Elephas maximus indicus: one gene and its partners. The protein of the gene in region 1 binds, or shares a complex with, the protein of each later gene. Links are inferred from orthologs where the notes say so. Each region holds a gene or a part of one and is shown in the gene's direction. Other genes may lie near its edges.

Region 1 (7,740 bases):
CCTGGCCCCAAAATGGTGGAGCAGCACTTGGCTTGAGTGGGCTGGCACCACCTTTGGTGGCTGCACTATCACTGAATCTTTGTGTGCCCCCTGTGGATGTGTGAATGTGTGGGTCTGGCTCATGCCCGAATGACCGCAGCCCAGCTTGTTGTTGTCCTGGCTGTGAATGGGTGGCTCCTTACGTTAGCCCTGTCACTACCACAGGTCAATGCTCCCTAAGATATTTATTCCCCTCAGGTACCAGTGTCCACATGTACCAGGCCTCTAGACGAGCCTCAGGCTGTAGATGAAAGAGGGCACTGGGTTTAATCCTAAGCAGGGCAGGTCCAGTAATAGGGCTCCTGACCCCTTGGGGAAGGTTCGAGTTCCTCCATGGTAATGAGGGTTTGAGTCCCTCTGTGGCCGCCTTTTTGAGGGTTTGAGTCCCTCTGTAGTAAATGGCTACACAAGTTCAACCAACACCCAACTTCACAGGATATCTGGGATGTAGTAAAGGCAGCAATCACAAACTTAACATGGTACCTTCCCCTTCTAAGATCCCTGGCCATGGTCATTCTGCTACTTGTATTTGGGCCTTGTTTGTTTAACCTTTCAGTAAAGTTTGTGTTTTCCAGGCTTCAGAAGTTCCACCTGCAGATGATACTGCAACGGGGATATCACCCCATCTTCCTTGAGCAGGTTCCAGCTAGAGCCCAGTTCTATGCCAGCACCCCTAGCCAGCAGGAAGAAGCTACAGAAGATGAGACCTTCGGCCCTAAACACCTTTTAAGATAGAGAGGCAACTGAAGCCTCTGCCGAGATTTCCGCTGCTCCACCATGGTTCCCCCCGTCACAGCCCGCCAAGCCACGGCTTCTAACTGTGGTTTGGCCTGACCACACCAACCTAACCGCAGTTTGAATTTGGTGCCAGAATCCAGCGCATGCGTGAACCAGGATTTTGGCCCATGCACAGGACCTGAAGAGCAGCATCCTCAACCTGTCCTTGGACCTGAGCATCACCAACATGATTCACCATTTGGACCTCCAAATGTGGACATGGGAGGACTAAGGGTGGAAAGTTCCGGGCAGCAAACCCAACCCCCAGATGCCACTGGAAATACAAAGCTCCTCAACTGCCCCCCCACCCCAGATGGGGAGTGCATGGTCTTTCGACTGCTAGGTCCCATATTGCTCCTTGTTTGTGCAAACAATAAACTGCCACTTTCCGTTTCCCTTGCAACTAGTGGTGTGGTGTCTGTCTTATTTCAATTGGCTAATAGGACAGGACAAGAACCCATATCACATAAATTCTGAGGGCCCCAAGCACAATTCATCATAAGATGGAAGTCTCACATTTGGGATGAAGCACAAAGAACACCAGAGTGCACAAGAGACCTACATGAGCAGGTAGCACAGACCTCCATGTCACCCGTTACACTGACATCCCTCCCTCAGTTCATATTGATAGCCATATGAGAGGGAGTGGAGCTAAAACTATCAGAGGAAAGAAGAAAAAAAGGCCAAGCTAAGTTTATGGATGGATTGGCTCACCACATGGTTGAAAGCTGAAAATAGACAGCAACCACATCACAGCCTCATTCAGGACAGCCTTGAAGACAGTGGAGAGGGACAATCTTCTGAGCAATACTGCAGTAGAAAATCAAAAACCAAACCCATTACAAAACCAAAGGCCAAACTCATTGCCACTGAGTCAATTCCAACTCACAGCGACCCTACAGGACAGAGTAAAACTGTCCCCACGGGCTTTCCAAGGAGCAGCTGGTAGATCTGAACTGCTGTCCTTTTGGTTAGCAGCCGTACGTCTTAACCACTGTGCCACCACTATGGTATAAGGACCTAGTCATTTAATCCCTTAGTAGTCCCTCCGTTTCAGAAACTTTGGCAGCATAGATGTTAAGAGCTACCACTGCTAACCAAACAGTTGGCAGTTCAAATCTACCAGGTGCTCACTGGAAACTCTATGGGGCAGTTCTATTCTGTCCTGTAGGGTCACTATGAGTAGGAATCAACTCAACAGCAATGAGTTCTTGGTAGTTCCCCTTTGGAGCTACCCCTGCCCAATCCTGCTTCTTCCCTTTTCTTTTAAAATTCCTAACTCTATCTCAGTATCTTCTTCTTGGAGGACCGAAATGACAAACCTACTTTTTTCTGGCTCCATTCAACTCTTGTAGGCTCAATCCTAACTTTCTTATTTCCACTGATAATTGCAGTGGTGTTCATTATATTTCTTTTAGATATGTTTACCAGATTCATCTCCTGTGCCACGTATTGGTACAAATGAAACATATTCCCTTAAAATACCTTAGAACACCAAAACACAACTTTAGCTATGGTCAACTCTCTTCATATGAATAATAATACCCGTTACTGTCAAGTCGATTCCAACTCACAGTGACCCTACAGGACAGAGCAGAAATGCCCCACAGGGTTTCCAAGGAGCACCTGGTGAATTCCAACTGCAGACCTTTTGGTTAGCAGCCATAGCTCTTAGCCACTAAGCCACCAGGGTTTCCATCGATAATAACAGATAGCAGTTATTACATACTAGGCACTTGACTACTAACCTAAAGGTTGGTGGTTCGAGCCCACGAAGCAGTTGCATGGAAGAAAGGCTTGGCAATCTGCTTCCATAAAAAGTTACAGTCATAATGATTACCCATTCCTGTTGAGTCAATTTCAATTCACAACACCCCTATAGGGCAGAAAACGGCCCCATCAGGTTTCCAAGGCTGTAAATCTTTATGGAAGCAGAAGACCAGAAAGCCCTATGGAGCAGTTCTACTCTGTAACACATGAGGTCTCCATGAGCCAGAATGGACTCCAGTGCAGCTTTTTTTTTCTCTTTTTTAAGGGGATGGGTATTGGTATTATTCCTACTTAACAGATCAGGACGCTGGGGCACAGAGTGTGAAGTAACTTGTCTAAGGTCACCCAGCTAGGAAGCCATAATTCAAATGTAAATAGTCTGGCTCCAGCTTCTTTATTATTAACCACTGTACTCTTCTTTCTCTTGAAAAGGGTTGGTAGCAGAAGCACCCTAAAAATGTAATAAATAAGTATCTGGAGAAACCAGGCCTGGTTTATATAAGGTTGGTGAATATGCTATAGTTGTTTTAAACCAAAACCCAAACCCATTGCCCTTGAGTGGATTCTGACTCATAGCAGCCCTATGGGACAGAGTAGAACTGCCCCCATAGGGTTTCGAAGGCTGTAAATCTTTACAGAAGGAGAGTGCCATATTTTTCTCCGTGAAACAGCGAGTGGGTACGAACAGCAGCCCAGTGCTTAACCACTGTGCCACCAGGGCTCCTCATAGTTGTTTTAGGGAAGGATATATCCCCAAACAGTTAGAAGTAGTTGAACTTTTTTGTTGCTATTGGAAAGTAAGGCATAATGAAATTAATTGATGCTGGATCCCTGAACTCTGTACAGACTACCATTCAAACTCTGCCAGATAATCTCCTTACCTCATGATATCTTGACCGTGAAAAACTGGTATTATGATCTTTAAGGTTGCATGTCAACTTGGCTGGGCCACGATTCTGTGGTTTGGCAGTTATGATGTAGTTTGGCAGTTGTATAATGATGTAATCACTTCCATGACAAGATCTGCTATGAGTAGCCAATCAACTGAAAGGGAGTTTCCTTGGGGTTGTGGCCTGCATCCAATATATTTGGACTTTTTGGCAAAGCTCCTTGGCTTCTGCTCTGCTCTGGATCCTGCATTCAGCTCGTCAGCATCTGACCTCCGGTCCCTGGGACTTGGGCCAGCAGCCTGACATCTGACCTGTGGATCTTGGGTTCATCAGCCCCTGCAGCTAAGTGAGTCAGGAGAAGCCTCCAGTTTGACACCTGACCCATGGACTTGGGACTTACCAGCCTCTACAACCCTGGGAGCCATTTCCTTGAAACCTGGATCTCTCTATCCTTCACTGGTTTTGCTTCTCTAGAGAACCCAGCCTAAGATAGAGACATCATTTTCTTTTCAGGATTAGCTTCTCTTCATTACTTCACACTATTTATGGTTCTGTATTTTCTCCTTCACTTAGGCTTGAAATCTTGGTACTTTACAGGCACTTTTTAACATTTGGTAAAGCTTAATACGCTCTCGTGAAACTACTGTAAAGAGTCTGAATAAGCTGTCTGCTCTTAAGATTTTCACGGAAAACTGACTTAAGTATTACAGTCATGCCAACTGCAGAAAATAGTTTTAGATGAAAGTAAACCTCGCTAAACCCTAACCCTTACCACGTTTCCGGTGCGTTGACTGGATGTACTCGGGGGCGCTTACCTACAATGACTACAATTCCCATCCTACACTGCGGCCTCCACAGCCTAAAACTACAATTACGCTAGCGTCGTTTCCGCTCGTACGGGCAGTGGGTGTTTGATTTAGTCGTTTGTATCAACTTCTTTTGTCGCCGTCTTAGGGGTAGCAAGTGGATGCACAGAGTTCTTTGAATCTAGTACTACGAAATAGTGTTAAAATAAATCAATACTTTTATAACATATCACAGCTAATTTTTAATGTATTTCACGCTCCGCCTTCATTGTGCCGCCAGAGCCCAGGAACGGGAAGTGACGTGTATCCGGTGTAATGGCGGCGCGGTGGAGCTGTAGGTAATTACCGCAAACTCCGTAGACTCCCTGTAGGCAGGGATCCGACGTAGGTGTGGCAGTTTTCCTGAACGGGTGGGAAGTGAAAGGGGCCCAGGAGTGGGTGCGCGCCCGTTGGCCCAGCCGTGGGCTGTAAACGGGTGCGCGTTGCTCCCTGCCCGCCGTGCGCTGGCCCGCGAGGTGGGGGTGTGAGCGCGGGTCGGGTCGAGGAGTCGGAGCGGGTTAGGAAGGGGCGGTGGTGTGCTCGCTCCCCGCCTGCATGGATGAACTTAGTTTCCGCCTGAGAGTTTTGGGCTGACTCCTATCTCTTTGTTAGTGAAATCCAGCAGTAGCGATGGTCTTTTTCTTCGCGTACAGTGCGGTTCGGGCGCGGGGTACTTAGAGCCTGAAGAGTTAAGTTGGGCTTCCCAGGCACCTTTCATAGTGTCCCCGTCCTAGAGTCATGGGGGTGGGATTAGGAAACTGTAGTTGATTGAAATAGTGGAAGTTGCACTCTTTCACTCATTTCCTTCTTAATATTCCTGTGACTACCTATTTTACTAGTTTCTTTTTTCTTCGTTTGCCTCGTAAATACTGATTGTTCTCAGTGTTTAGGCCGGGGGGGGCTCTTTCCTTATCATGTGTATTCTTTCACTGTCATCTTCATCTTTTGATCACTGGAACTACATCCAGTAGGGTGATCATAACTTCCAAATTTGAGTCTCAGGTGTCCACCTGCCTTCTGAGCTCCGGATCCAACAGTACATTCTTGCGTACAATGGTATTTTAGTAGTTTCATTAACTGCGGTAACTGCTTTATTTATTTTCACCTAACCCTCAAAGCAGTTCTTCAAGGTAAGTGGAAAAGGAAACATACTGAGAAAGGCTGTTCCAAAGGCAAGCATTGAAGTGATTGAAAGCGTGATAAGAATTTGCTTTGCATATTCGGGTGTCCACAGACTAGACATATGAGGTAGATACGCAAACAAGCTTGGTTTTCAGAAAACATGTTAACCTACCTTTTACTTTTCTGTGTTTAGATTTGTCTTGGTTTAGTATTGTCTCTGAGCTCAGGAATTAGCTTCAGTTAACAGAAAAGCAACTTTAGAATTGGTGTTTAATAGTGTGGGTTTTGACCATGGTAAAGTTACTGCACACTGTGTCTGTAGGAGGAGGTAACTCCCTTGCGTTGAGTTGATTAATGGACTAGTGAGCCAAAGGTTCCAGTCTTGGCCTGACATTTATTGGGTCTATCACCTGGGTGGGGTAAGTCACCTTATGTCTCTCATCTTAGCTTCTTTACCTGAAAAACTTAGATTATAATATCTACCTCACCGAGTTGTTTTGAAGATGAAGGAAAATAATGCACATTAGATATTAAGCACAGTGCCTGGTATATAGTGTTACCCATTGCTGTCGAGTGGATTCCGACTCATAGCAACCCTATAGCACAGGGTAGAACTGCCCCTTAGGGTTTCCAAGGCTGTAAATCTTTTCGGACTCATAGAGTCGGAATCGACTCGATGGCACTGGGTATTTTTTTAAATCTTTTCGGAAGGGCTCTTTCTCCCGAGGACTGGCTGGTGGATTTGAACCACCAAACTTTTGGTTAGCAGCTAAGCCTTTAACCACTATGCCACCAGGACTCTATTATATAGTGTTAGCCCTTATTATATTAAGGCTCTCTGGTGGCACAGTGGTCAAAATTATCTACTGTTAATGGGAGGATCAGTCTTTGGAAACCACCAGCCGGCTCCAGGGTAGAATGTGGCAGTCTGCTTTCATAGAGATTATAGCCTTGGAAACCCCATTGGGGTCACTGTGAGTCGGAATCGATCCGACGGCAGTGGAATTGGTTTTTATTATTTTATTATTGCTGTTGCTGCTACTACTACTGTTACATGTTGCCCTTCTACTATTAAGTGTACAGGCGCCTTTCGTAACTAATCTGGCTGGGGCTCTGGGACTTTGTGGAAGAAAGGCCTGGTGATCTACTCCCCCAAAATCTGGCATTGAAAACCCTGTAGAGCACAGTTCTACTGCGACACACACGGGGTCGCCACGAGTCGGAGTTGACTCAACAGCAACTGGTTACTGGTTTTACTGGGACTCTGCTTATACTTGCTTGCTTATCAGAGGCCGAGAGCCTTGATCTAATACCCTGGCTCAGTGGTTCTAAAAGTGGTCTCCTGAACCAGCAGCATCAGTACTTGTTAGCAATGCATATTTTGGGGCCCACCCCAGTCCTGTTGAATCAGAAACTGGAGGAATGGGAGCCTATCAGTCTGATTATTAATAAACCATCTATTTGATTCTCATGCCTGTTTGAGAACCACATCCCCTAGAGACCTGTTTTTTTTTTTTTTAATTGTGCTTTAGATGAAGATCTACAGAACAAATTAGTTTCTCATTAAACAACTAATACACATATTGTTCTGTGACACCAGTTGCCAACCCCGCAATGCGTCAACTCTGTCCCTTCTCGACCTTGAGTTTCCTGTTTACGTTCATCCAGCTTTCCTGTCCCCTCTTGCCTTCTCATCCTTGCTGCTGGCCTGGTGTGCCCATTTAACCCCTATACATGGTTGAGCTACGTGTATTTTTGTTTGTTTTATGGGCCTAAATCTTTGGCCAAAGGGTGACCCTTAGGAGTGACTTTAGTAGTGAGTTAAAAAGGTGGCTGAGGGCCATACTCTTGGGGCCTAGAGATCTATTTTTGTCTGTTGTTTGTGTTTTGTTTCATTTTCCAGAATCAGCTGCTACTCCCCTTCCTCACTTTGGATAGTTTAGCTCCAACCACTTCTGTAGTTAGACACTCCCTAGACTATAGGGTCCCTGTGAGTTGGAATCAACTCGACGACAAGGAGTTTGGTTTTTTTAGGCTACTTAGCTGTCTTTCCTAAACCAGCTTTCCTAACTGTCAGCTTTCCCAGTTGCTGAATTGTTAGTGGTTAACTCCTTTCTGATGATTGTACGCTGCCAAGTGACCTGTAATGGCTTGAACCTGAGGCCACCTGAAAGGACACAAGAGCATCAGGGTATATGCTCATGCCATAACTGCAACATTATTTTCTGTTTGTTGACCACATGGATTTAGAGCTAGTTTAAGGAAGAAGTGGTTGTTGGTGGTATAGCTGATCCCAC
Region 2 (8,471 bases), on another chromosome or scaffold:
CCTGTTAAAACTCATTCACTCATTCATTCATTCATTCATTCGCTCACTTGGAAAATGTTTACTTGGCACCTACTGGTGCCAGGTAATGTTTAGGTACTTGGCCTACATCACTGAGCAAAACAAACATCTTTGCTCCTGTAGAATTTATATTCTGCATGGGAGAGTTAGAGACAGAAACAATAAAGGTAATGTAACTAAATCATATAGTACCAGGGAAGATAATGCGTGCTATGTAAAAAAGGAAAAGTAGAACAGGGTAAGGACATCAGAGTGCACAGTGTTGGTAACAGAGGTCTGCCTCATTGGAACAAAGCCTTCAATGAGATGGGCAGGAGTGCTCTTGGTGGAGGAAACAGCTAGTGCAAGGGGGCCTAAGTCAAGAGCCGCTGTGCTTGTTCAAGCAAAACCAGGGAAAACATGAAGCCTGAAGAGGCATGAACAAGTGATGAGGTCAAAGAGGCAGAGGAGAGGCTAGATTACGGACAGCGTTGTGGGCCATTGTGAGAACTTTGGCTTTTATTGTGAGGGAAATAGGGTGCATTCCCTCTGTCTGGCTGGATGCCCTTTTCTCCCCATGGCATTATTGTATTATCTAGTTGTATTACTGGATATACCCAGTTGTATTATTGATTTTTTTAAGTGTTGCCAATCCGATGCTGTAAAGTGATAATTCCTTGTTAACATACTTTCATTTCCCCAATATCAAGTGTCTTTCATGTTTGTCTATTTGGAATTGCTTTTTTCTGAATGGCCCGTTGATATCCTTTGCCCATTTTTTTTTCTGTTGGGTTGTTTGTATTTTTTTTACTTATTACTATTATCAGTAGTAACAGTAGTAACCATTTACATGTTATAGGCATTACAAAATTTCCCCCCAATCTACCATTTATCTATTGATTCTGCTATTGGCATCTTCTACCATAAAACTAATTTTTATATAGACGAATTTTTTAAATTATTTCTTTTATAGTTTCTAGGTGTTCTGCCTTGATCAAAAGGTTTCTTCACATGCTAGGCTGTATAAAGAGTCTCCTAAATTTTCTTCTTAGGTTTTTATGGTTTCTTTTTTCCTTTTAGGTGTTTAATTCATCTGGGCTTTGTTTTTGTGTCAGCTTTGAGGCTGCAATCCCTTTGTTATTTCCTGACATAAGAAGAGTCAGTTTTCAGAGAGGGCCACATGAACCAGAGACCTACATTATCCTGAGAACAGAAGAACTAGTTGGTGCCCGGCCACAATTGATGACTGCCCTGACAGGGAGCACAATAGAGAACCCCTGAGGGAGCAGGATATAAGTGGGATGCAGACCCCAAATTCTCATAAAAAGACCATACTTAACGGTCTGGATGTGACTAGAGGAATCCCGGCGGTCATGGTCCCCAACCCTTCTGTTGGCACAGGACGGGAACCATCCCCAAAGACAATTCATCAGACATGAAAGGGACTGGACAGTGGGTGGGAGAGAGATGCTGATGAAGAGTGAGCTAATTATATCAGGTGGACACTTGAGACTGTGTTGGCATCTCCTGTCTAGAGGGGGGATGGGAGGATAGAGAGAGTTGGAGGCTGCCAAAGTTTTCACAAAAGGAGAGACTGGAAGGGCTGACTCATTAGGGGGAGAGCAAGTGGGAGTAAGGAGTAAGATGTATATTAACTTATATGTGACAGACTGACTTGATTTGTAAACGTTCACTTGAAGCTCAATAAAAGTTAATAAAAAAAAAAAGAAGAGTCAGTTTTGTAATTATGGTTATTATATAAAACATCCTTTTCACATTGGAAAGCCTGGTTGCATAGTGGTTAAGAGCTATGGCTACTAACCGAAAGGTCAGCAGTTCGAATCCACCAGGTGCTCCTTGGAAATCGTATGGGGCAGTTCTACCCTGTCCTATAGGGTCACTATGAGTCCACGGCAATGGGTTTGGTTTTGGGTTTTTTCACATTGAATTAAAATACAACCTTTGTTATACTAAAACGGAACATTTTTTAAGGTTAGGATATACTACACCATGTTCGAAGCTGACAGGAATAATATGAAAGGGATGGATTAATACGTTATGAAGGAGAGATAGAAGATGTAATAGGATGCTAATCACTAAGAAGGCTGGAAAGATTGGGACCCAGAGTACAAGGCAGAGAATCTGGGTCACCTCATCTCTAGTAACACAGGGAAAGGTGAGAACAGGCCCGTAGCTGCAGGCAGCTTGGTAGGTCTGCTGGGGTGGGGGAGGATGAGGAGTCCTTGTTTGTGAGTTTCTGTTTTCCCAGGGAAGTAAGAAGATAATTAGCTCCCAAGAAAACGGGTGAGAAGGGAAGAAGGGCTGGAGGAGACGTGTAGGAGTTTTGAGGAACAAGGGCAATGTGGGAAATCATATCACTGAAGAGTAGGAAAATAAACAGAGGGATGTTTAAGGGGGCTGGCAGGCAGAATTAAGAGCCCAACTAGACACTTGTGGTAAGGGGTTTAAAATAAGAACTCTTGGAAAATCAGTTGCGTGATTTTTTTATCAGCAAAGTTCAGCTGATAGCATGAACTTATTTTTTTGTAAATATACTTAGTTTTAAGTTTCTTTTTCTTAATACCGTCAAACTGTTTAAGTCAAAAATTTTAGTTTCTTTTTCTTACTACTACTTTCAAACCATTTAAGTAGAAACACTCTTTAGTTTCTTTTTCTTATTAATACTTTCAGATCATTTAAGTCAACAGCTTTTAATTTTGTGGACGGATTATATTGTATGTTGGTGTTGATAGGTGCTGACTTACCAGGGTGGTCACCTAATCATGGCAGGTGGTCAAAAGATTGGGTGGTGGGCTGGGAGTTAAATGGATTAGGGTGATTCGCTCAGGGCTGATAAAGGCAGTTGACACATAAAAACCATGGATATTTTCTACAGTTGTGTCACCATCTTGTCATTGCTACTTCATTCCTCTACTTCAGAGTGCATCATTCATTCATTCATTCAACAAATACTTACTCAGCACCTATTATGTGCCAGGCACTGTTCTATATGCAGATGATACACCAGTGAACAAGAGAGACAACGTTCCTGCTTTCCTGGAACTTACGTTCTAATACAGGAAATAGACAATAATAAAAATAATATTAATAATAATATTAGCTAACATTTATTTAGCAAGTACTGTTTGCTGAGACAGTTCTAAGCACTTTACAAGTAGTAACTCACCTAATCCTTATAGTAAGATTAAGGGGGAGGGACTAGTATTATCTCCATTTTATACATCAGGAAACTGAGGGCAAAGAAAGGGAAACTAACTTGCAATGGGTATAAGCTGAAAAAGGCAGAGCAGAAATTTTGAACCAGTCTGGCTGTAGATCCCTTTCTCTTAAAAACTGTTCTGTGCTGCCTTTCAGACAGGAAACAAGGCAATAAACAAATGAACAAAATAAGTTCAGGTGGTATTCAGTACTACGAAAAAATAAAACAAGGTGGTATGAAGGTATTTACGTGTTAAAGGGGTGAGGGTGCAACAGGTGGGTGTTAGGGAAAACTTCACTGAGATGGCATTTGAGCTGAGACCTGAAGGATGGTTATGCAGTTATCTTGGGTACAGGCAGCAGAGAAAAGCGAGTGCAAAGACTCTGATACAGAAGAACCTTGTCTTGCGAAACAGAAATGCCCACTCGGCTACAGGTTAGTGTATAAAAGAATAACTTACTCAAATGAAGTCAGGGAGATAGGTAGGAGACAGAACCTGTGGGGCCTCAGTTCACACTAGGGAATTTGATTTTTATTCTAAGCGCAGTCGAATTTTATGCAGAAAAGTAATACTATCTGACTCATAATTTTACAAGATCACTCTTGCTGTATACATAAAGCTGACTGGAGGACAAAAGGAGAAGCAGGAAGATCTATTAGGAGGCAATTACAATCCAGGTGGCTTGGACAGGGTGGTGGCTAGGGCTGGGGTGGTGCAGTAGGATGAAAAGTGAGGGAGCAATTTAGTATGTATTCTGAAAGGGGATTGGAAAGACTTCCAGATAAACTAGATGTGAAGAGTGCAGGGGAAGGAACTTAAGTACAGGCTTTGGGATTCTGGGTAGTGTCATTTACTGAGATGTGTAAGGGGGGAGGAATACCTTCACTAAGAAAAATCAAAATTTCCATCTTGGACTTAACAGAGGAAGGAGTTTTCTCCTACTTTTTTTTCATTTAAAAGTTTTAAAGAAAAAGTTTAAGGGAAAAGCTTTTGAATATTCAATTTTGTGAGCTCTTTACATTAGAAACTGAGTTGGGGAGGTTACATTTTCATTTGTTCAACAAATATTTATGGAGCACCTACTATACGCCAAGGACTATGTGATGAGACACCAAGATGAACTAAGCAAACAAGATCCCCGCTCTCAGAGTCCTTTGTTTTACTTTTATTTTTCGGTAGGAAGAGAGAGGGAGATGGGTGATTTTTTTCTGTTTGTTGTCTTATTAAAACTTCACCTAACGCTTGAGTAGCCATCTTATTAGTAATTGCATCTCGTGCTCCTGGCAGTTGGGCCCACCGTTCTAAACGCTCAATATCAGGTGAATAAATGAATTAATCGCTAACATTACATCTTCCCTCCCACTAGAATTCATACTTTTTTTTTTAATAAAAATTTTAACAAACAATACGAATACAACCTTCGCTTTGAAGTCTAATATTTTTGCAGGAATGGTACCTTTATAAAGATCGTGGTTGCCCCCGTACATATTTGTTCTTTCTTCATATCCAATTAAATGAAAACACTAGCTTTTCCGTAGCCCAACTCTCTAGGCTTGTTGGGTCTAGCTCAGGAGAAAGGAAGCAGGAACCGTTGGATTTAAACAGTTTGGTGTAATCCTGTTCCACGCTCCCTCCCGCTAGTCGGGGACGTGATGTCGGCTATCCTGAGCTTTCCGTCCACGCAGAACCGGAATGAAGGAGTCTGGGAGGGGGTCGGGGATGGAAAAGACGGAAGAGACATTAACTAATTGGCTCTTGAAGGTATAAAATGATGTTTTAGGGTCTACGCTAAGGCACCGATTTCAAACGCCCGCCCCCTGGACCGTTTCGGTCCCGCCCCCTGTTGTCGTCACGCCGACTTCCACCTTGGCCTCTGTGGATTGGTCCGCGCCTCCGCCTCTGAAGGGCAGCTGAAGCGCTTGGATTTTGCTTCCGGGTCTTGGCTTTGGCGCTGGACGCAGAGGTTTCTGGGAGGCAAGGGGCGTAATGGTGTGTGTATGATCTCCGGAGGCTGCAGCATCGGACGTCGGCCAAAGTAAGCGGCAGGAGGGTGGCAGATATTCTTCTTCGTTCTGGAGGTGGGGCAGGAAAGGGCGACTGGGGTCGGAGGCCGCGACAGCGCGCGGGCGGAAGAGGTCCCGGAGCGGCAGGGTGCTAGCGGAGCAAGGCGCCTGTGGAGCGCTTGCGAGCTGCTGGGCCGGCCGAGGGAAGCTCGGCGCGAAGGCAGCTGTGCAGACGGCTTTAGGCAAGCCTTGGGCCCCCCTACCGCCGAATCCGGTGCAGGTGAGGCATCAGCGAGTTCCTGGTGACAGCTTGTCGGCGGGCTCCCGGGAGGCCGGGGTGATGATAAACAATGGGGGGGGCGGTGGCGCCCCCAGCGGCAGAAAACCCTTTTTCTCCCCCTGTGGGTACATGCCTTTCCTTTTTTTTGAAAAACAAAAAACTGTACAAAAAACATCCAGTTCCAGCTTGCTTTTCCGACCCTAAACCCTAAAAAACCCAAATCCGTTGCTGTCGAGTTGATTCCTATTATGGGTTTCTGACCCTATCGGAATGCTATTAGCAACATCTGCTAGGCAGTGTTCTTTTGGCTGTTTATAGTCTAAGTAACCAGGGCTTTGACCTGGTTAGTTTTGGGTTGAACCCTGATGAGAATTTGCGTTTCCGCCCCCAGATATACCAAATCAGAATCTATATTTTAACAAGAGACCCAGGTGATTATGTTTAATAAATTTTGAAAGCCACTGCTCTGCTTGTGGTTCTCAGAATTGGTCCCTAATCAGCAGTATTAGTGTTGCCTGCGGATTTGTTAGAAATGCAAATTCTGAAAGAAACATAATGAATGGGTCTCTGATTTTTGGTTACCACAGCCCTTAAATGTTATTTTACAAAAGATCTGATTTATGTTATGATGTTGTTGTCCTAGAAACTTGGATCAACCAAAGATTGTTGGATAATTTTGTCCTTGTAACTGTCCTTAAAATTTAGCACACTTCTACAGTTTAACTTTTCTCCAGGACAGTTAGTAACAGTGATTTTTAAAAGTACCTTTGTGTTTTTGAGATGGCTAGCCCATTTGCTGTTGTGTGAGTTCTAGATAAAATGCAAACCCTACTGGTGGAGTAAGATTGAATTAAGAGTTTTTAAAACTCAATCATGGAGTGTCTGTGTTGGACAAGTGCTTTGACATGTCAGGAGCCCTGGTGGCACAGTGGTTAAGAGCTATGGCTGCTAACCAAAATGTCTTGATAGTTTGAATCCGCCAGCTGCTCCATGGAAACCCTATGGGGCAGCTCTGCTCTTTCCTAACTATGAGTCAGAATTGATTCGATGGCAGCGGGTTGACATGTCACATCTCAATTTTCATAATAATCCTATGGGGAATACCCTGGTTTTACAGATGGCAAAAATTTAAGCTAGGTGTCTTGCCCAAGGCCTCACAGCCAGAATGAGAAAGGGTGGAACACAAACTCCGATCCTTATTGCAGAATTTTTTTTTTTTTTTTTACTAGCAAGAGCCTCCTGAGTAGCTATATACTTTGTACACTCTGCGCCTCATGATTTGTTAAGAATGTTTGTGAGACTGTTCAAGTAAATAACTCACTGGGGAATGAGTGTGGGAAATTATTTCACAAGGATGGATATTGACTAATGCTTCATAAAGTGACAGTTTATCATATTGCAAATAACTTGATACTCTTTCTTCAAATCGTATAAGATGACAACAGCAGCCAGGCCAACTTTTGAACCTGCAAGAGGTGGAAGAGGAAAAGGAGAAGGTGATTTGAGCCAGCTCTCAAAGCAGTATTCAAGCAGAGACCTACCCTCTCATACGAAGATAAAATATAGGTAAAAAATTCTTTAAGTTTTTCTTGTTCACAAAACAAGACCATATCTACTAAATGGCATGTGATAGGATAGTAGCATATTTGTGTTATATCATTTTAGGTTATCTATTTTTTAGAAACAGAAGGCATAGAGTATATTTAAGATACCCTGATAGTGCCCTGGTTCAGCACTTGGCTATTAACCTAAAGGTTGATGGTTCAAATCCACCCAGTGGCTCTGAGGGAGAAAGTCCTGGCAATCTATTTCCATAAAGATTACAGCCTAGAAAGCCCAATGAGGCAGTTCTACTCCGTCATCTGGGGTCGCTGTGCGTTGAAAATCACCTTGATGGCACCCATCAGCAACAACAGAGTATGTTTAATGCTAAATTATGCTCTACAGTTGTAAACTGCTACGAGACATTTCATTAAGCAAATTCTTATCAACTTGGAATTTCTATACATAGATGTAGCACTAACTGATGCATTACCTCAGAGGGACCATGTACCATCAGCGCTGGGCAATATGAGGTTAAAACCATTACTGTATTCATTAAAACTATTTAAAAAATGAAGGGTAACAGGTGACTGGGAGAGGTGTGTTCCTATAACAAGCCCTCAGTTGATGTAATACTAATAAAAATTTAAAGATATTTTAATCTGCAACCTTATTATTCGAAAATATGTGAGTTACTCAGCATTTTGAAATATTGGAAACATCTCAAAGGTGCCTACTAGTAACCTCCTTCAGATTACATTAATCATCTTTTCTAGTCAATTTTTTTTTATACTTGAGGGACTGGAGACAAATGAAGCTTTTGTAGATTGTCTTTCATTTCTGCAGTTAAGCATTTTTTAGTAACAATTTGCCCTGGTTTGTTTCTACTTTAGACAAACCACTCAGGATGCCCCAGAAGAAGTTCGCAACCGTGACTTCAGAAGAGAGTTGGAAGAGAGAGAGAGAGCTGCTGCAAGAGAAAAAAATAGAGATCGTCCAACCCGAGGTACCAACACTATACAAAACATTTGTCTCATAAACTGACACATTGGAGATAGTTTTTTTTTCATGTAGTAAGTGGAAAAGATTAATATGTTTGTGTGTTTTTAACTACTGGTGTGAGCTCTAATGCTTCCTCAAATGAACTGATAAGATTAGAGGTGATAGCCAAGGTTCATTCCAGTTCCACCTTTTTATGCTTCTGTGTTAGAAAGGACAGAGGTGATTGGGGACATTTAGCCATCGTTTCAGTTCAGATCAAGGGATTTTTACTATTTACAGCGATGAGGCTTTTTAAGGCCTCATGGTTTCTGTCTTTCAAGATTGCCCCATTTTTGTCAGTGGCTGTTGGAGGATAAGGAGCCCTTGTGGCACAGTAGTTAAGCGCTTGGCTGCTAACTGAAAGGCTGGCAGTTCAAACCCACTCCG
Region 3 (7,592 bases), on another chromosome or scaffold:
GACAATGATAAAATCCAGTGCTATCAAAGCTTTAGAAAGAGACTCTCATTTTTGCTGTGAAAATATTATACGCTGGCTTAGTCCATTTTTTTTTTTCACTTGACTTTTTTATTGTGGCAAAATTATATATAAGAAAACATTTGCCATTTCAACATCACTTAATTTTGTGTGTGTGCGTGCTTTAGGTGAAAGTTTACGGAGCGAATTAGCTTCTCATTCAAAAATTATTACACAAACTGTTGTCCTGACATTGGTTGCAATCCCCGCAATGTGTTAGCACTCTCTCCCTTTGCACCCTGGGTTCTCCATTTCCAATTGTCCAGTTTTCCTACCCCTTGCTGCCTTCTCGTCTTTGCTTTTGGGCAGGTGTTGCCCGTTTGGTCTCCTATACTTGATTAAGAAGAACATGCCTCACTCGTATTATTGTTTGTTTTTTCGGCCTCTCTAATCTTTGGCTGAAAGGTGAACTTCGGGAGTGGCTTTACTTACGAGTTAGAAGGTGTCTGGGGGCCATAGTCTCAGGGATTCCCCCAGTCTCTGTCAGACCAGTAAGTCTGGTCTTTTTTGTGAATTTGAATTTTTTTCTACATTTTTCTCCTGCTCTGTCTGGAACCTTCTATTGTGATCTCTGTCACAAAGATCAGTGGCGGTAGCTTGGCACTATAGTCCTTTTTGTAAAAAACGTTTTTATCGAGATATAATTCACATACCATACAATTCACCTATTTAAAGTGTATAATTCAATGGCTTTAAGTTTAATTTTCAAAGGAGTGTAACCATCACCACAATCAATTTTGGAATATTTTCATCACTCCAAAAAGAAACCCGGTACCCCTTAGCCATCACCGACAACCCCCCATCTCCCCATCCCCCCAGCCTTAGAACCACAAATCTATGTTCTGTCTCTATAGATTTAGCTATTCTGGACATTTCGTATAAACGGAGTCATACATATGTGGTCCTTTGTGTCTGGCTTCTTTCACCTCAGAATGATGTTTTCAGGCTTCTTCCATGTTGTAGCATGAATCAGTATTTCAGTCCTTTTTATTGCCCAATAATATTCCATAGTATGGTATGAATATGCCACATTCTGTTAGATAAATGGCCATCAGTTGATGGACTTTTGGGTTTCTACTTTGGGGATATTATGAATCATGCTGCTACGAATGTTTATGTACAAGATTTTGTGTGGCCCTTGTTTGCATAGGAGAAGAATTGCTGGGTCATATGGTAACTGTTTTGTCTTTTGAGAAACTGCCAGACTGTTCCAGCGTGCCTGTACTAATTGTACATTTCTGCCAGCAGTGTGTGAGGTTCCAGTTCTCTATGTTCTCATGGTAACACTGGTTATTATCTGTCTTTTTGATTCTAGCCATTCTGCTGGGTGTGAGGTGGTATCTCCTTGTGGTTTTGATTTACATTCCTTGATGACTAAGGATGTGAATCATCTTTTCATGTGCTTATTGGCCATTTGTATATCTTCTCTGGAGGAATGTCTGTTCAGATCCTTTGCCTAGTTTTTAATTGAGTTGTATGTCTTCATATTGTTGAATTGTAAGAGTTCTTTATATATTCCAGATACATATCCCTTTTCAGAAAAATGATTTGGAAATATTTTTTCCTGTTCTGTAGGTTGTCTTTTTTACTTTCTTGGTGGTGTCTTCTGAAGCACAAAATTAAAGGCTTGAGCCTTTTGAAAGGCAATCTGTCAAAACATATCAGGAGCCATGGAAGTTCTCACATTCTTTGATCTGGTGTTTTTAATCCTGGGAACTGGCCCCAAGGAAATTATTAAGGGAAAAAACCATTGTGTGTAAAAGTATTTATGGCAGCATCAGTTAAAAGTGAATAACAAAGCTGCTCAAAAGTACATTCACGTAATTGTGGAGTATTATGCACCATTAAAATTATAAATATGATTATATGTGATTATGCACTCATAGGCTATCAGATCAGAAGAGGGGTTGGGAGGGGGAAGGTGACTGATTGCTGGGTGACAATGAACATTTTTGCAGTGTTGCTACAAAGTACAATTTAAAAGTGAAGGACTCTTGGGCATTGTCAGAGTCCCTGGGTGGCATAAACGGTTAACTGCTAGCTGCTAATTGAAAGGTTGGTGGTTGAAGTTCACCCACAGGCATCTGGGAAGAAAGGCCTGGCAATCTACTTTGAAAAATCAGCCACTGAAAACCCTATGGGACAAGTTTTACTGACGCACATGGGGTTACCATCAGTTGGAGTTGACTCAATGGGAACTGGTTTTTTGATTGATGAACATTTAGATTGTTTCTAGGTTTTTATAGTCATAAGAGATTGTTGCAATGAACAGCATTGAACACACATTCATAAGAGAGGTTTCTGGAAGTAGAAATATGTCAGCAGGGTGCTGAGGGTACATGGTCCTGGGTTCTGGTGGCCCACGTCATGGGCATCTCTTGGATGTCTCTGTGCAGGACCTCAACCTGTAGTGGCTCCCCCAGCACCGAGGAGATGCCATCCCCTCCCGTGAAGGCTTCCATCTTCACCCCACCTGTCCTACTCAAGTTCCAGCCGGTACGCAGACCTGACCATGACTCAGAGAACGACCCTGGCAGCTCAGACTCGGTGCCCCACCACGGGAGCGCATAACCACTTCCCTACAGACATGGCCTGATGAATCAATAAAGATTCTTTGGAGGTGCTGTGCTTGTGCTGGGGTGGGTGCTGGGCTCCCTCGGCGTGGTTTAGTGCTCCCTCTAGCCCAAAGGGATGGTCAGGGTAGTAGTGCCAGCCCAAGGTCCCTTGACGGAGCCTGCATACAGTAGGTGGTCAGGTCAGCACTCATCGCTTGTACCCTAATGTGAAAACTCAGCCATATGCACTTTGTTCAAGGAACGAGTGGTGCCCTTGGTTGGGCCTCATTTGACCCAACTGAGCTGCATGTCTACCATCTTTTTCCTACACCTAGCCCCTAAACACAAACCTTACTTGGTGCGTAGATTTAGAAACATGTTTTCTCCCTGGAGGAAGCTGATGTGTCACTTTACAACTTGGCACCTTTCTAAGGAATTTCAAAGATGTATGACTAATTGTCACCTCACTCCCAACCTTAGCACCAAACCTGCATGTGAAACGTGAGTCCTCACTAAATATCTTTCAAGGAAGGCACATTAGCAGATGCTGAACCCCTGCATGTGCTCCACACCTTTCTTGGAACTGTAGATAAACCAAGCAGTGTGTGTCTATGAGGGGGGTGGGGGTAAACCAGCACGCAGATGAATTACTACGAGTTGACACACTGTGATAAGCAGCCTGATGGGAGCTGGAATGGAGAGGTCTGGGGACAGCCACCTGGGATGGGGGCATCAAGGAAGGTCTCTATGAGGTGTCGTTAAAGTGGAACCTAGAGGAACCAGCAGTAAAATGAGAAAAGCAAGGACAGCTGGTTTCCAGTGACTGGGTTGGTGATGGTATATTCAACAGAATTGGGGGACGGTGGCGGGAGGGGGTGGGGAATGGCGACTTCTTCTTTGACCAGGCATTTTAACTTTGAGGTCAGTGGGTACCCAGTAAAGGTCAGGAGTCTGGAGCACAGGCTTAGCATTGGTAGTCACGGGATACAAGTGATTTTTAAAGCAAGATCCCCCGGTGCCTGAGTATAAACAGAGGCTAGAAATGAGATGGGGGTACACAAACGTTCTGGTTGGGGCAAGGAAGGGTCCAGCGGAAGAGTCAATAGAGACCAGTGAGGGCCTGGGGCCTCCAGGCTTGGTGACCACCTGCCACTGGGTCACAGGGGCCTGGAGGCAGCGACGAGAGTGGGTGAATGGGCGGGCGGTGAGCAGCTAGCCAGCCAGTGTGGACAGGAGTAGGCCTTGCGGCTCCAGATGGGCTTTTTAAAATGCCTGAGAGCCCGGGCAGGACTGCGCCCAGGCTAGGCGGGTAAGCGAGACAAGCCGGAGAGAGGCCCCCCAAAAGAGAGGGCTTCGAGTAGAAAGCATCTCAACGCCCTGTGCGCAAACGCCCTAGTGGGTGAGTTCAGCTGGACGCTCAGGGACTGGGCATGCGCGCTCCGCGCCGGGGCCACACTTCCCGGCATGCTAAGCGCTCGCTTCCGGGGCGGGACCTCGGATCCCGGAACTGGTCATAGATCTCGGCTAAAGCATCGGGGTCTTACTGTCCGCTGTCTCTTGTGCCCGCTCACGCTCGTCCAGTCGCCGCTGCCGTCTGTCGCCGCCATGGGGAAGCGACAGCACCAGAAGGACAAGATGTAAGTGGAACCTCAAACGGGAGCGGCACCCCTATGCCGCTTTTTCCTGGGCCTTCCTCTCACCTTGGGGCGCTGGGCTTCTGCAAGTGGTCCCTCTGGCCCCTACTCTCCGTGCTCACGGGGTTGGCTGCCTCACGCCTGTTCGCGCACACACACACTGCAGTGACTCCCAGTTCCAAACAGACCAGCCTTGCCTTGTCCCCGTGTTCCTCTCCTGCTACCACCGTGTTTCTTTTGATTCTTCATCGCAAGACTTGAAATGTATGTGTCTACTAGTTTTCTGCCGTCTCCTGAAACCACTACAGTCATGTTTTTGCCCCAGAACGGCACTTGTCAGGGTCCCTGTGACTTCCACGATGCCAAAGCTAGTGGTCAATTCTCAGTCCTCATTTTGTTGGACTTCTCAGCATCAGAGGACACAGTTGACCACTCCTTTCTTCTGAAGCTGCTTCTTTGGTGTGTGGGACACCAGGTGCTCTTTGTTTTCCTTCTCTTCTGTGGCCTCTTTTTCGTTCTTTAGTGTGCTTTAGGTGAAAGTTTATAGCTCAAATGAATTTTTTTTTGTTTGGTTATGTAAAGGCATTTGTTTATTAGCATTATGAGTGCGACAGGTGTTCCTGATGTATCTTTTAGCTCATTAATACTGGTATGCAGCTGTTGTTGAGTGCGTCGAGCCTTTTTTTTTTTTTTGAATTTTATTGTGCTTTAAGTGAAAGTTTACAAATCAAGTCAATCTCTCACAGAAAAACTTATATACACCTTGCTACTTACTCCCAATTACTCTCCCCCTAATGAGACAGCCCGCTCTGTCCCTCTACTCTCACTTTTCCTGTCCATTTTGTCAGCTTCTAACCCCCTCTACCCTCTCATCTCCCCTCCAGGCAGGAGATACCAACATAGGCTCAAGTGTCCACCTGATCCAAGAAGCTCACTCCTCACCAGCATCCCTTTCTAACCCATTGTCCAGTCCAAACCATGTCTGAAGAGTTGGCTTCGGGAATGGTTCCTGTCCTGGGCCAACAGAAGGTCTGGGCACCATGACCACCAGGGTCCTTTTAGTCTCAGTCAGACCATTAAGTCTGGTCTTTTTACGAGAATTTGGGGTCTGGATCCCACTGCTCGCCTGCTCCCTCAAGGGTTCTCCGTTGTGTTCCCTGTCAGGGCAGTCATCGGTTGTAGCCGGGCACCATCTAGCTCTTCTGGTCTCAGGATGATGTAGTCCCTGGCTCATGTGGCCCTTTCTGTCTCTTGGGCTCGTAATTACCTTGTGTCCTTGGTGTTCTTCATTCTCCTTTGCTCCAGGTGGGTTGAGACCAATTGATGCATCTTAGATGGCCGCTTGCTAGCGTTTAAGACCCCAAACGCCACTCTTCAAAGTGGGATGCAGAACGTTTTCTTAATAGATTTTATTATGCCAATTGACTTTGATGTCCCTTGAAACCATGGTCCCCAAACCCCTGCCCCTGCTACACTGGCCTTCAAAGCATCAAATGAATTTTTCACACAAGAATTTATACATATATTGTTTTGCGACATTAGTTGCAATCCCCACAATGTGACAGCACACTCCCCTTTTCCATCCCGGGTTCCCTGTGTCCATTCAAACAGTTCCTGTCCCTTCCTGCGGTCTCACCTTGCCTCCGGACAGGAGCTGCCCATTTAGTCTTGTGTATCTGATTGAACTAAGAAGCACACTCCTTGGTGTATTATTTTTTGTTTTGTAGTCCTGTCTGATCTTTATCTGAAGAGTGGGTCTCAGGAATGGTTTCAGTTCTGGGTTAACACAGTGTCCGGGGGCCGTAGTTTCAGGAGTTCCTCCAGTCTCTCTCTGTGGCCTCTTTTTCTGTCTCCTTTGCTAGACTCCTCCTTCTCTCCCAGACCTCTGTAGGTCAGCGAGCACCAGGTTTCTTCTTCATGTATGTTTTCCGTGGATGTTCTCACCCAGTCTTCTACAAGCTGATCTTTCCAGTTTTGGCAATAGCTGCCTACTCCATATCTCCACTTGGAGGCCTCACAGACACCTCAAATGGAGTATGTCCAATACTGAACTCGATTTCTAGCCACTGAACCTCTTTCTCCCTATCTCACTGCCTCACCACTGTCCAATCAGTTTACTCAGATCAGAAAGCCTGGGAGCTGGATGGGATGCTACTTCTCTCAACTCTCACCTCTAGTCAGTTGCCAGTCTTTCCAGCTCACCTCACCCACCCCCTTCCACCCAGGTGGAATTTATGCCATCTCCTTCTTGGACCTTGGTAGCCTCCTCCTGGGTGGATTTTCTGCTTCCTGTCTTGCTTGTCCGTTACACATAGTACCCAGAGTGATCCTTGTTAGACTTACAGTAGGTGATACCAAGGTCCTGCTCAAAACCCTTTAACAGCTTTCTTTCAGCTTTACCACCTACGTCTCAGTTTTCATCTGCTTTCACACCTTCCCGCAGACACTGTCTCCCATGGCATCCCCTCTCTTCTAGAACACACCTAGCTTTTCCCTGCCTCAGTGCTTTTATGTTTGATATCCCTGCTAGTCCCTCTGCTTGGAAAGCTTGTTGCCTAGATCTTCACATGGCCAGCTCCTTCTCCTCGCTAGGCCTTGTTTTACATTCATCTAACTTCCTTCAGAGCCAAGCAGGACTGTTTGTGTTAGCTTGTGCATCCTCATGTCTCTTCTGTCATCATTCTGTGCCTGGCACGTGGGTGTTTAATAAGCATTTGCTGAATGAGCAAATGATGAAGTCATGACTTACTTCCAAAGACTCTGTCCTCTGATGGTAGTAACATTTCCTCTCTTCTTCAGGTACATTACCTGTGCTGAGTATACTCACTTCTATGGTGGCAAGAAGCCAGGTAAGGCATGAAATCTTTCAGTTCCCTCTGAGGGGAGGAATTAAGGAATGATCTCATCACTGTGCAGTGAGCCTGTAAAAATTAAGAATGTAGAAATTACAGTAGACAGGCTGAGGACACAGTTCAGAAAAGGACATATAGCTAAACATGTGTGAAAATGTTTAATCTCAGTAGTAATTTTTTTTTTTAATGTAGGTTAAAATGGCATTTTTTTCTCTATCAAATTAATAAGGAGTAAAAAGAATAATATCCCAAACTACCCAGGCAGCAGAGTCTCTGAATGGCATGCAAATGGTTAAGTGCTTGGTTACTAACTAAAAGGTTGGAAGTTTGAATCTACCCAGAGGTGCTGTGGAAGAAAGGCCTGGCAATCTGCTTCTAAAAGATCACAGCCATTGAGATTGTGGATTAAAAAACTCTTAATAGATATAACCAAAACACATGAGGTACATTAAAAAAAAAAAAGCTTGGAGGAAAAGGCACATACTTGTTTAAGC
Region 4 (7,978 bases), on another chromosome or scaffold:
CTCTTGCCTGAATTATTGCAAGAGCTTCTGAACTGGTCTTCCCGCTTCTACCTTAGCCTCCACCACCACCACTCCCAGTCTGTTATCAACACAGCAGCCAAAGTGATCCTGCTTAAATGTAAGTCAAGTCAAAATCTTTCAGTGACTTCTCGCCTCACGCCAAGTAAAATCCAAAGTTGTTACCCAACATGTCCTGACATGATCTACTCCCTGTCTCCACACACTCATCCTATGCATAGTGGTTAAGAGTGCAGGCTTTGGAGCCATACTGCCTGGATTCCAGTCCTGACTCTACCATCTACTAGCTGTGTGACCTAGAGCAAGTGACTCAATCTCTCTGTACCTCAGTTTTCTCATCTGTAAAATGGGGATAATAGCATCTACCTCATAGGGTTGTTGTGAGGAATAAATGAGTTAGTGTGTGTAAAGTACTTAGGATCTTATTTAGGCACTAAATAAGATTTTTTTAAATAAACAAAAATCTTCTATCAGTCTTCCCCTTGCCTACTTCTCTCCAGCCACACTGGTATTGCTGTTTTTCAAACACTTCTTTCCCAGGACGTGTGCACTTACTGTTCCCTCTACCTGGAGCACTTTTCTCCCAGATACACACCTGGCTTACTCCCCATCTTCTCGCAGGTCTTTCTCAATGGCACTTTATCAGGGATGCCTTCCTTGACCAAACACGTTTTATAAAATAAGAACACTCCGTCACTCTCTATCCCTTTGCCTTGCTTTATTTTTCCTTCATAGCATTTATCAACTTTAGATGTATGTGTATATGTGTATTGTCATTCTTCTCCAACAAGAATGTAAGCTCCATGAGGGCAGGGACTTTGTTTGCCTTGTTTACTGTTATAACCCCAGCACCTAGAACAGTGTCTGGCGCATAATAGCTGCTCAATGAATACTTGTTGAAAGAATGAATAAAAGATAAAAGCAAAAAAAGAAAGGTCATAATCCATCTGCCAAGATAACGTGGCATTTAAAAAAATATCTGGATAAAGGTAAGAAAATTCTAACAGTATAGAAAGGTCCAAAGGGAAAATAAAAACCTCTTTTTCTACTACCCTCATCTGTTTCCCTCAAAAACAAAAAAACCCGGAAATCCATTGCCATTGAGTTGATTCTGACTCATAGAAACCCTCTAGGACAAAGTGGAGCTGTCCCATAGGGTTTCCAAGGGACACCTGGTGGATTCGAACTGCTGACCTTTTGGTTAGCAGCCTTAATGCTTAACCACTGCATGAAACCAGTTGCCATCGAATCAGTTCTGACTCCTGGCGACCCCATGTGTGTCAGAGTAGAACTGTGCTCCATAGGGTTTTCAGGTGCTGATTTTTCAGAAGTAGATTGTCAGGCCTTTCTTCCAAGGTGCCCCTGGGTGGACTCAACTGCCAATCTTTCAGTTAATAATTGAGTGTTTAACCATTTGCACCATCTAAGGACTCCTAAGGTAACCATAGTTGTGTGTGTTTTTCAACTTTATTAACCAATTATTGTATTGGGTATAAGTTATGTGTGCAGGAAAGTGCTTGAGGCTTGAGGTGCTGAGAGGTTATAAATGCAGAGCCTTTGCCTTCCAGGATCTCATGCTCTTTCTGGGAAGAGTGCATAAAGAGTTCTGTAGTGAAGCAGAGTTCAGAAGTGGGAGCCATCACTGTGGGCTGGTAAGGTCAGGAAAAGTTCCTGCTGGAGGGACAACTTGATCCAGGTCTGCAGCTTGGGCAGGTTTCAATCAGACAGAGAGGGGGCTGGCTCTCTCAGGTATATGGGGCTCTTTCAGCAGAGGTGTCCAGGTTGGGTAATGAAAGGGGCCCTCGAGGGGAAGGCTCAAAGTGGAGCCTGACTGAAGTCGAGGGCCTGTGTCAGGGAGTGATGAGAGAAATCAAGACTAGGGGCTGGTATGAATTATAAGAGTACTGAGAGAGCTAAGAAGCATGTGATAATCACTGGGAGTAGGATTGTAGCCTGAAGATGTATGTGTTACAGACACTGCAGTGGTACAATTATTAGGACTTGGCGGGGCAAGGTTCTTACCTAGTGCCGCTGTAACAGAAATACCACAAAAGGGTGGCTTTAAAGAACAGAAATTTATTTTCTCACAGTTCTAGAGGCTAAAAGTCCAAATCAGGGTCTCAGCTGTGTTGATTTCTTCCCTTCCAGTAGCCCCAGGCGTTCCTTGGTTCCTTGGTGATCCTCACATGGCATCTGTCTTCCCCCATGTGTGCATGCCTCTTTGTCTATCTGCTTTTTTTTTGAACTCAATGATTAAATTTAGATCGGGTTCAATTTAGAACTCCCCCTGCTCAGGTAGGAGCCCAGGTGTGTAGTGGTTAAGCGCTCGGCTGCTAACCAAGAGGTCGCAGTTTGAATCCACCAGCTGCTCCTTGAAAACCCTCTGAGGCAGTTCTACTCTGTCCTATAGGGTCGCTATGAGTCCAAATTGACTCCAGGGCAATGGTTTTGGTTTTTGGTTCTACTCGGCATGACCTAATTAACATAACAAAAACCCCTATTTCCAAATAGGATTACATTGCAGGTATAGGGGTAAAGATTCCAACACATTTTTTTTTGGTGGGGGGACACAATTTAATCCATAACAAATGGGAAGACTGAAATATGAGAACCATTTTTTCACCCTGGGCAACCAGGAAAATGGTGATAGCATTGCCCAAAATAGGGAAAGCTGTTTTGGGGTGTGGTTTGGTGGTGAGAAGTAGGGAGCTGACTTTGGCTAGACAAATAGTTCAGTCTTTCTTTTAATGTGGGGACTACTTCAGCTTCCTTAGCATTGCCCAAGAAACTAGAGCTGAGTTCTGCATACAGTGGGTCTTAAATAAATGTTGGCGGAGATCACTGATAACCACCTTGGATGGCAAACCCTGGTCGTCTTCTCAGGCATTAAGTTCAGGGGGTCTTCTGGACCCCCATTGCCTTTCAACTCACACTTACAGAAATCACAAGGCATTATCTTACCTACCAGTTCTACCAATGGCAAGCACATCCATGGAGAATCTGCCTTTCTTGCTTCTTTATTTACTTCAGGTTCTCCTAAGGTGACCAACCATTCCAGTTTACTCTGGACTTTCCAATTTTAGCACTGAAAGTCCTGTGTCCTGGGAAATCCCTCAGTCCCAAGCAAACTGGGATGATTGTCAGCTCCCCCAGCTTCAGAATACTTCTGCTGAACCCACCAGCTGGATAGCAACTGTCTTCTTATGTTCTCCTCAACCAATATCACCCTTCCCTTTGGTTGATTTAGTCACCTTTTCTGTTCTAGTTTCCTTCTGAATGCTGATGACTGGGACAGGTGTAGCCCCAACTCTCTCATTTCATAGTCACTTGAAGAAGTCAACCAGATAATGCTACATGCTAGTTTACCACTTTGCAGTGGCTACTTCAACCCTACAACTAAGCAACCTGAGATTCCTAGAGGTAGATAAACCCGTATGCAATCTGTCACTGTTTAGTTTTTATTGCCAAGAGAATTCTACAAAGTTAATGAATAGCTGGGTTGGGATGAGGGAGGGGACACAGACACCGGATGTATGAGGAGATGCTGTCATGGATGGGCAGCCACTGTTCTGCTACTTGGCAGGACATAGGTACATGGTGAGCCACTTGAGAATACAGTTGTCATCATCATCAAAATACTTTTATAAAGGGCCTAATATCTGACTCTGAGCTAGGCCTACACAGAGAACTACATTGCTCTGGACTTTCACTTTTAAAACATCATGGTCCAAGACCAGATTTTGATGTGGAAAGATGCAAATGGGTTCAAATAGTGTTATGACTAAAATCACACATCATATGCCACCATGTTGTCTACTGGTTCCTGGATACTTCTGGAGTGACATCTATTAGGCAAATATATCTTGTCTCCTCAATTATATTATTAATTCCTTGAGGGGAGAGGACCAGCCTTAAACTCCTTTCTACAGATTCTAGCTGTACAGGACAAATATAGATGCTCAGTAAGCACTGATGAAATAAACCTCACCTGGTGGGTAGAGGCAGAGTACCTTTCAAGCTAATTAATTCCTTTGAACTTCAGTTTCTTTCTCTATAAAATGGGGATGATCGTATTATCTACTCCATGGGGTTGTTGTAAAGGAGAGACACGTAAATTGCTCAGCACATGATCTGGCATTGTTTAGCGCATTATCTGCTCAATTGTTAGCTCTTACTTTAACAACATTAATTTCTGCCTCCCACTCAAATAGGCGAGACTATGAGAAGGGTAAATGTAGCAGCTCTCACACAAACAGATTCAATTCAGCCTGTGGAGGCACAGTGGTCCATTGCCTATGCATTGGCATATTTTTTTTTACTTTTCTGCCATACTGCTGAACAAGAATACTAGGATGTGTGTTTGTGAGAGATGGTCTGGGAATGAAGGCCCGAGTGGGGGCTTGGACTGGGAGCGAGGGCTGGACAAATGTCGCCACATGGGGCACCTTTTTCATTCTTCATTCAGTAAATTTTTATAGCTAACCCAATCAGTGTGGGATTCTGTGACAAGCCAGCCTAGCACTCTTGCCCCATTTCACAGACAGATGGCGCAGGAGACTAGAGAAAAACTCCTTCCGGGAAAACGAAGCACACGGAGCTAGAAAAATCGCTTTCACAGTCGTGCGCAGGCGCCACGCCCCTGGCGCGGTCGAGCTTTTCCGGCGCATGCTCCGCCGCCTCCAATGAGCGCGAAGCGCCCGGGCTGCGCATGTGCCGCGCAGCCTCACCCGGAAGACTAGGTTTCGGTGCAAAGCGGGGACCCACGAAGATGAAGTAAGGCCCGACTTTCTTCTGAGGAAGCGGGAGCTGCCCGCCGGGAGGTGGACCACGGGGTCTGGGATGGTAGAGCGTCTGCGGGGCGGAGGGGTGAGAGAGGCGCGGAGGCTAGAGAGTCCAGTCCCCCTAGTTTTGCTCTCCCTTAGCTCAGCCCGGACCTCACTTACTTGTCTCTCTTCCACCCTCTCTGCAGCCCTTTGACTAAGGTGAAGCTGATCAACGAGCTGAATGAGCGGGAGGTCCAGCTTGGGGTGGCCGATAAGGTTTCCTGGCACTCCGAGTACAAGGACAGCGCCTGGGTCTTCTTGGGTGAGTCTTCTGGCTGCTTCCTGACATTTCAGCATTCTAGCTCTTCGCCCCTGCCCACATTTCATCATCCGCTCTTACTGACCTGCTGTCTGCTGTTAATCCGATTTTATATCTTTTTTCGCCCTCATTTCTAGTTTGCTTTCCCTGCCAAATCAATGCTCGTGAGCGTTCCTGTTATTGTGTGCCATTCACTTTCCTGAGAGCCTTTCACGGGCTTCTCAGAGATCATTTCTGTACCCCCGCCTCATTCCCGTTATACAGCTGAGGAAACTGAGGCTCAGAGAAATTAACCGGCTTCCGTAAGGTCACATAACTAGCAAGTGGAAGCAGCCAACCGCCCTCCCACCCCAAACTATCACCTTTCAAAATTCATTTTTCTTATCTAATTAGCTCCTGAAGAAACCCTGTTGGTGTAGCTGATAACCAAAGCGTCGGCAGTTCGAATCCGCCAGGCGCTCCTTGGAAACTCTACGGGATAGTTCTACTCTGTCCTATCGGGTCGCTATGAGTCGGAATCGACTCGACGGCACTGGGTTTGATTTTTTTTGTTTGTTTAATTAGCTCCTACCTTCTGTCCATGGCCATATCACCATCCCTAGATTCACTTTATGTTGTAACTATTAATTGTGCTAAGCACTTCATATACACTGTTTAATTTGTGTAACAATCCTGTGAGATAAGTACTAGTATCTCCATTTTACAGATGAGGAAGGAAACATGGGGGGCGGGATTTATTTCCTATGAAATGCCTAACAGTTATCTTTATAATCCTTAGTGTTTGTGTGGGTGGGGTTAATATGAACATATTTAAGCTGATTTTGGATCTTAGCTATAAAATTGTGGGTAAAGAGCAGATGAATTCAAAATAAGTTTGTGGAAACAGTTTTGTACTGGAAACTATCTGCTTCATGAATAGAATTTTGGGTGTGAGGACTGAGCTATCTGATCAGCCTGGTTAAGGGTGACACACACCTTTAATCGCTTCTTTTTCTGTACTTCTGCACCTTATACGTACTTCCATCTTTGCATCAGACTGTACGTTCTTTGAGGGCAGGGCCTGTGGCTTACTTTCCTTTGCACCCCAGTGCCTGGCTCAGTGCATGGTATGTAATAGACACTTGGTAAATGTGCTGAAATATGGTTTCCTCTTCTAGGAGGGCTTCCTTATGAACTGACTGAAGGAGACATCATCTGTGTGTTCTCACAGTAAGTCCCCTTTCATTTCCTGCCTTCTTTTTCTGTTGGTGTTTTCCTATTGATTTTATAAGAGCCCTTCACGTATTAAGGATATTAACTCTTTGTTATAATGCTTTATCATGTGTTATGTTGCCGTGGACTCATTTTTAAATAATTTGATATGTTATAATACGTGACCATCATTATTCTTTCTTGTTGCTCAAATTGTTCCAATTTGAGGGTCACTAGGAACCCTGTTGGAGCCCTGGTGGCACAGTGATAAAGAGCTCGGCTGCTAACTAAAAGGTCGGCAGTTCACATACACCAGCCGCTCTTTGGAAACCCTCTGGGGCAGTTCTACTCTGTCCTATAGGGTTGCAGTGAGTTGGAATCAACTTGAAGGCAATGGGTTTGGTTTTTATTGGATAGGAGCCCCGTCAAGCCAGCTTCTGTATTCTTTTTTTTTTGACTTCTTATTATAACTTTTATTTTGAAATAATGTCAGACTTAAAATAGGAAAGTTGTAGGGTAGTATAAAGAACGTCTACCTGTATCCCCTCCACCCAGATTCCCCAGATGTTACCATGTTATCCCATTGGTTTTGTCATCATTTCTCTATCCAAATCCGTCGCCACTGAGTCGATTCTGACTCATAGCGAGCCTGTAGGACAGAGTAGAGCTACCCCAGGGTTTCCAAGGCTGTCATCTTTACAGAAGCAGACTGCCACATCTTTTTTCCCACAGAGCAGCTGGTGGGTTCGAACCATCGATCTTTCATTTAGCAGCCAGGTGCTTAAACACTGTGCCAGCAAGGCTTCTTATTTCTCTCAATATGTATATACAATTTTATTCTGAACCATTTGAAAGTCACTTGCAGACATGGTGCTCATTTATCCCTAAATTCTTCAATATATATTTCCCAAAAAGTAAGGACATTCCCTTGTTTAACCTCAGAACAGTGATCAAATTCAGGAAATCAACACTTTGCATAATATTATTATCTAATCTATAGACTTTATCCAGTTTCTCCAGCTGTCGTGATAATGCCCTTTATAGCGAAAAAAAAAAAAAAGTTACTTTCTGGCCGTTTAATCTGTTAGATAAATTATAAATACGTTTTCCTAGTTTGTCATTTGCCTCTTGACTTTGCTTATGATTTGTTTTGCTCTGCAAAATTATTTTCCTTTTATTATTTTTTATTTCCTGCATTCATTTCTTTATATGTTTAAATTATATGGTAACATTGGTTTTTTGAGGCATGTACAGTTGTGTGAATTTTAGTACATGTTTAGATTTGTATAACTGCTCCCACAATCAGGATGAATAACAGCTCCATCCACCTAAAACTCCCTCGTCTTACTCCTTTCTGCTCATGCTTCAGTCTTCCCTCCTCATTTTTATTTGGTTACATTTATCAGCCTTTATTGTTTCTGGATTTTGCATCATAGTTAGAAAGCATTTCTCCTCACCCATCCAGGTTATAAAGGAATTCACCTGTGTTCTTTCCTATTTTACATTGAAATTTCTGATCCATTTAGAACTTATTCTGGTATATGATGTGAAGTATGGATCCAATTTTACCATTTCCAAATAGCCATCCAGTTGCCCCAACACCGTTTATTTAAAAAGTCCATTTTTTCCCCAGCAAATTGGGATGCCATCTTTATCATATACTAATTTTTCCATATGCACTAGGATC

Evidence for each region.
Region 2: CWC22 (region 1) and CWC15 share a complex: the UniProt entries of both Homo sapiens proteins name them as parts of the minor spliceosome. The link is inferred for Elephas maximus indicus from reciprocal best matches to the Homo sapiens genes CWC22 and CWC15.
Region 3: CWC22 (region 1) and PPIL2 share a complex: the UniProt entries of both Homo sapiens proteins name them as parts of the minor spliceosome. The link is inferred for Elephas maximus indicus from reciprocal best matches to the Homo sapiens genes CWC22 and PPIL2.
Region 4: CWC22 (region 1) and RBMX2 share a complex: the UniProt entries of both Homo sapiens proteins name them as parts of the minor spliceosome. The link is inferred for Elephas maximus indicus from reciprocal best matches to the Homo sapiens genes CWC22 and RBMX2.

The regions. Positions count from the first base shown.
Region 1 is NC_064824.1:78,258,717-78,266,456, reverse strand, and holds the start of CWC22 (pre-mRNA-splicing factor CWC22 homolog), read left to right. Parts: upstream 1-4,514; 5' UTR 4,515-4,620; intron 4,621-7,740. UniProt on the Homo sapiens protein: Required for pre-mRNA splicing as component of the spliceosome. As a component of the minor spliceosome, involved in the splicing of U12-type introns in pre-mRNAs. Promotes exon-junction complex (EJC) assembly.
Region 2 is NC_064825.1:25,933,134-25,941,604, forward strand, and holds the start of CWC15 (spliceosome-associated protein CWC15 homolog), read left to right. Parts: upstream 1-5,147; 5' UTR 5,148-5,253; intron 5,254-5,280; exon of another isoform or gene 5,281-5,501; intron 5,502-6,936; coding exon 6,937-7,067; intron 7,068-7,936; coding exon 7,937-8,049; intron 8,050-8,471. UniProt on the Homo sapiens protein: Involved in pre-mRNA splicing as component of the spliceosome. Component of the PRP19-CDC5L complex that forms an integral part of the spliceosome and is required for activating pre-mRNA splicing.
Region 3 is NC_064840.1:21,007,797-21,015,388, reverse strand, and holds the start of PPIL2 (RING-type E3 ubiquitin-protein ligase PPIL2), read left to right. Parts: upstream 1-4,106; 5' UTR 4,107-4,217; coding exon 4,218-4,249; intron 4,250-7,045; coding exon 7,046-7,095; intron 7,096-7,592. Other genes in the region: uncharacterized protein LOC126065945, read left to right, coding at 2,454-2,628. UniProt on the Homo sapiens protein: Has a ubiquitin-protein ligase activity acting as an E3 ubiquitin protein ligase or as an ubiquitin-ubiquitin ligase promoting elongation of ubiquitin chains on substrates.
Region 4 is NC_064846.1:26,103,529-26,111,506, reverse strand, and holds the start of RBMX2 (RNA-binding motif protein, X-linked 2), read left to right. Parts: upstream 1-4,726; coding exon 4,727-4,791; intron 4,792-4,987; coding exon 4,988-5,103; intron 5,104-6,257; coding exon 6,258-6,309; intron 6,310-7,978. UniProt on the Homo sapiens protein: Involved in pre-mRNA splicing as component of the activated spliceosome. As a component of the minor spliceosome, involved in the splicing of U12-type introns in pre-mRNAs.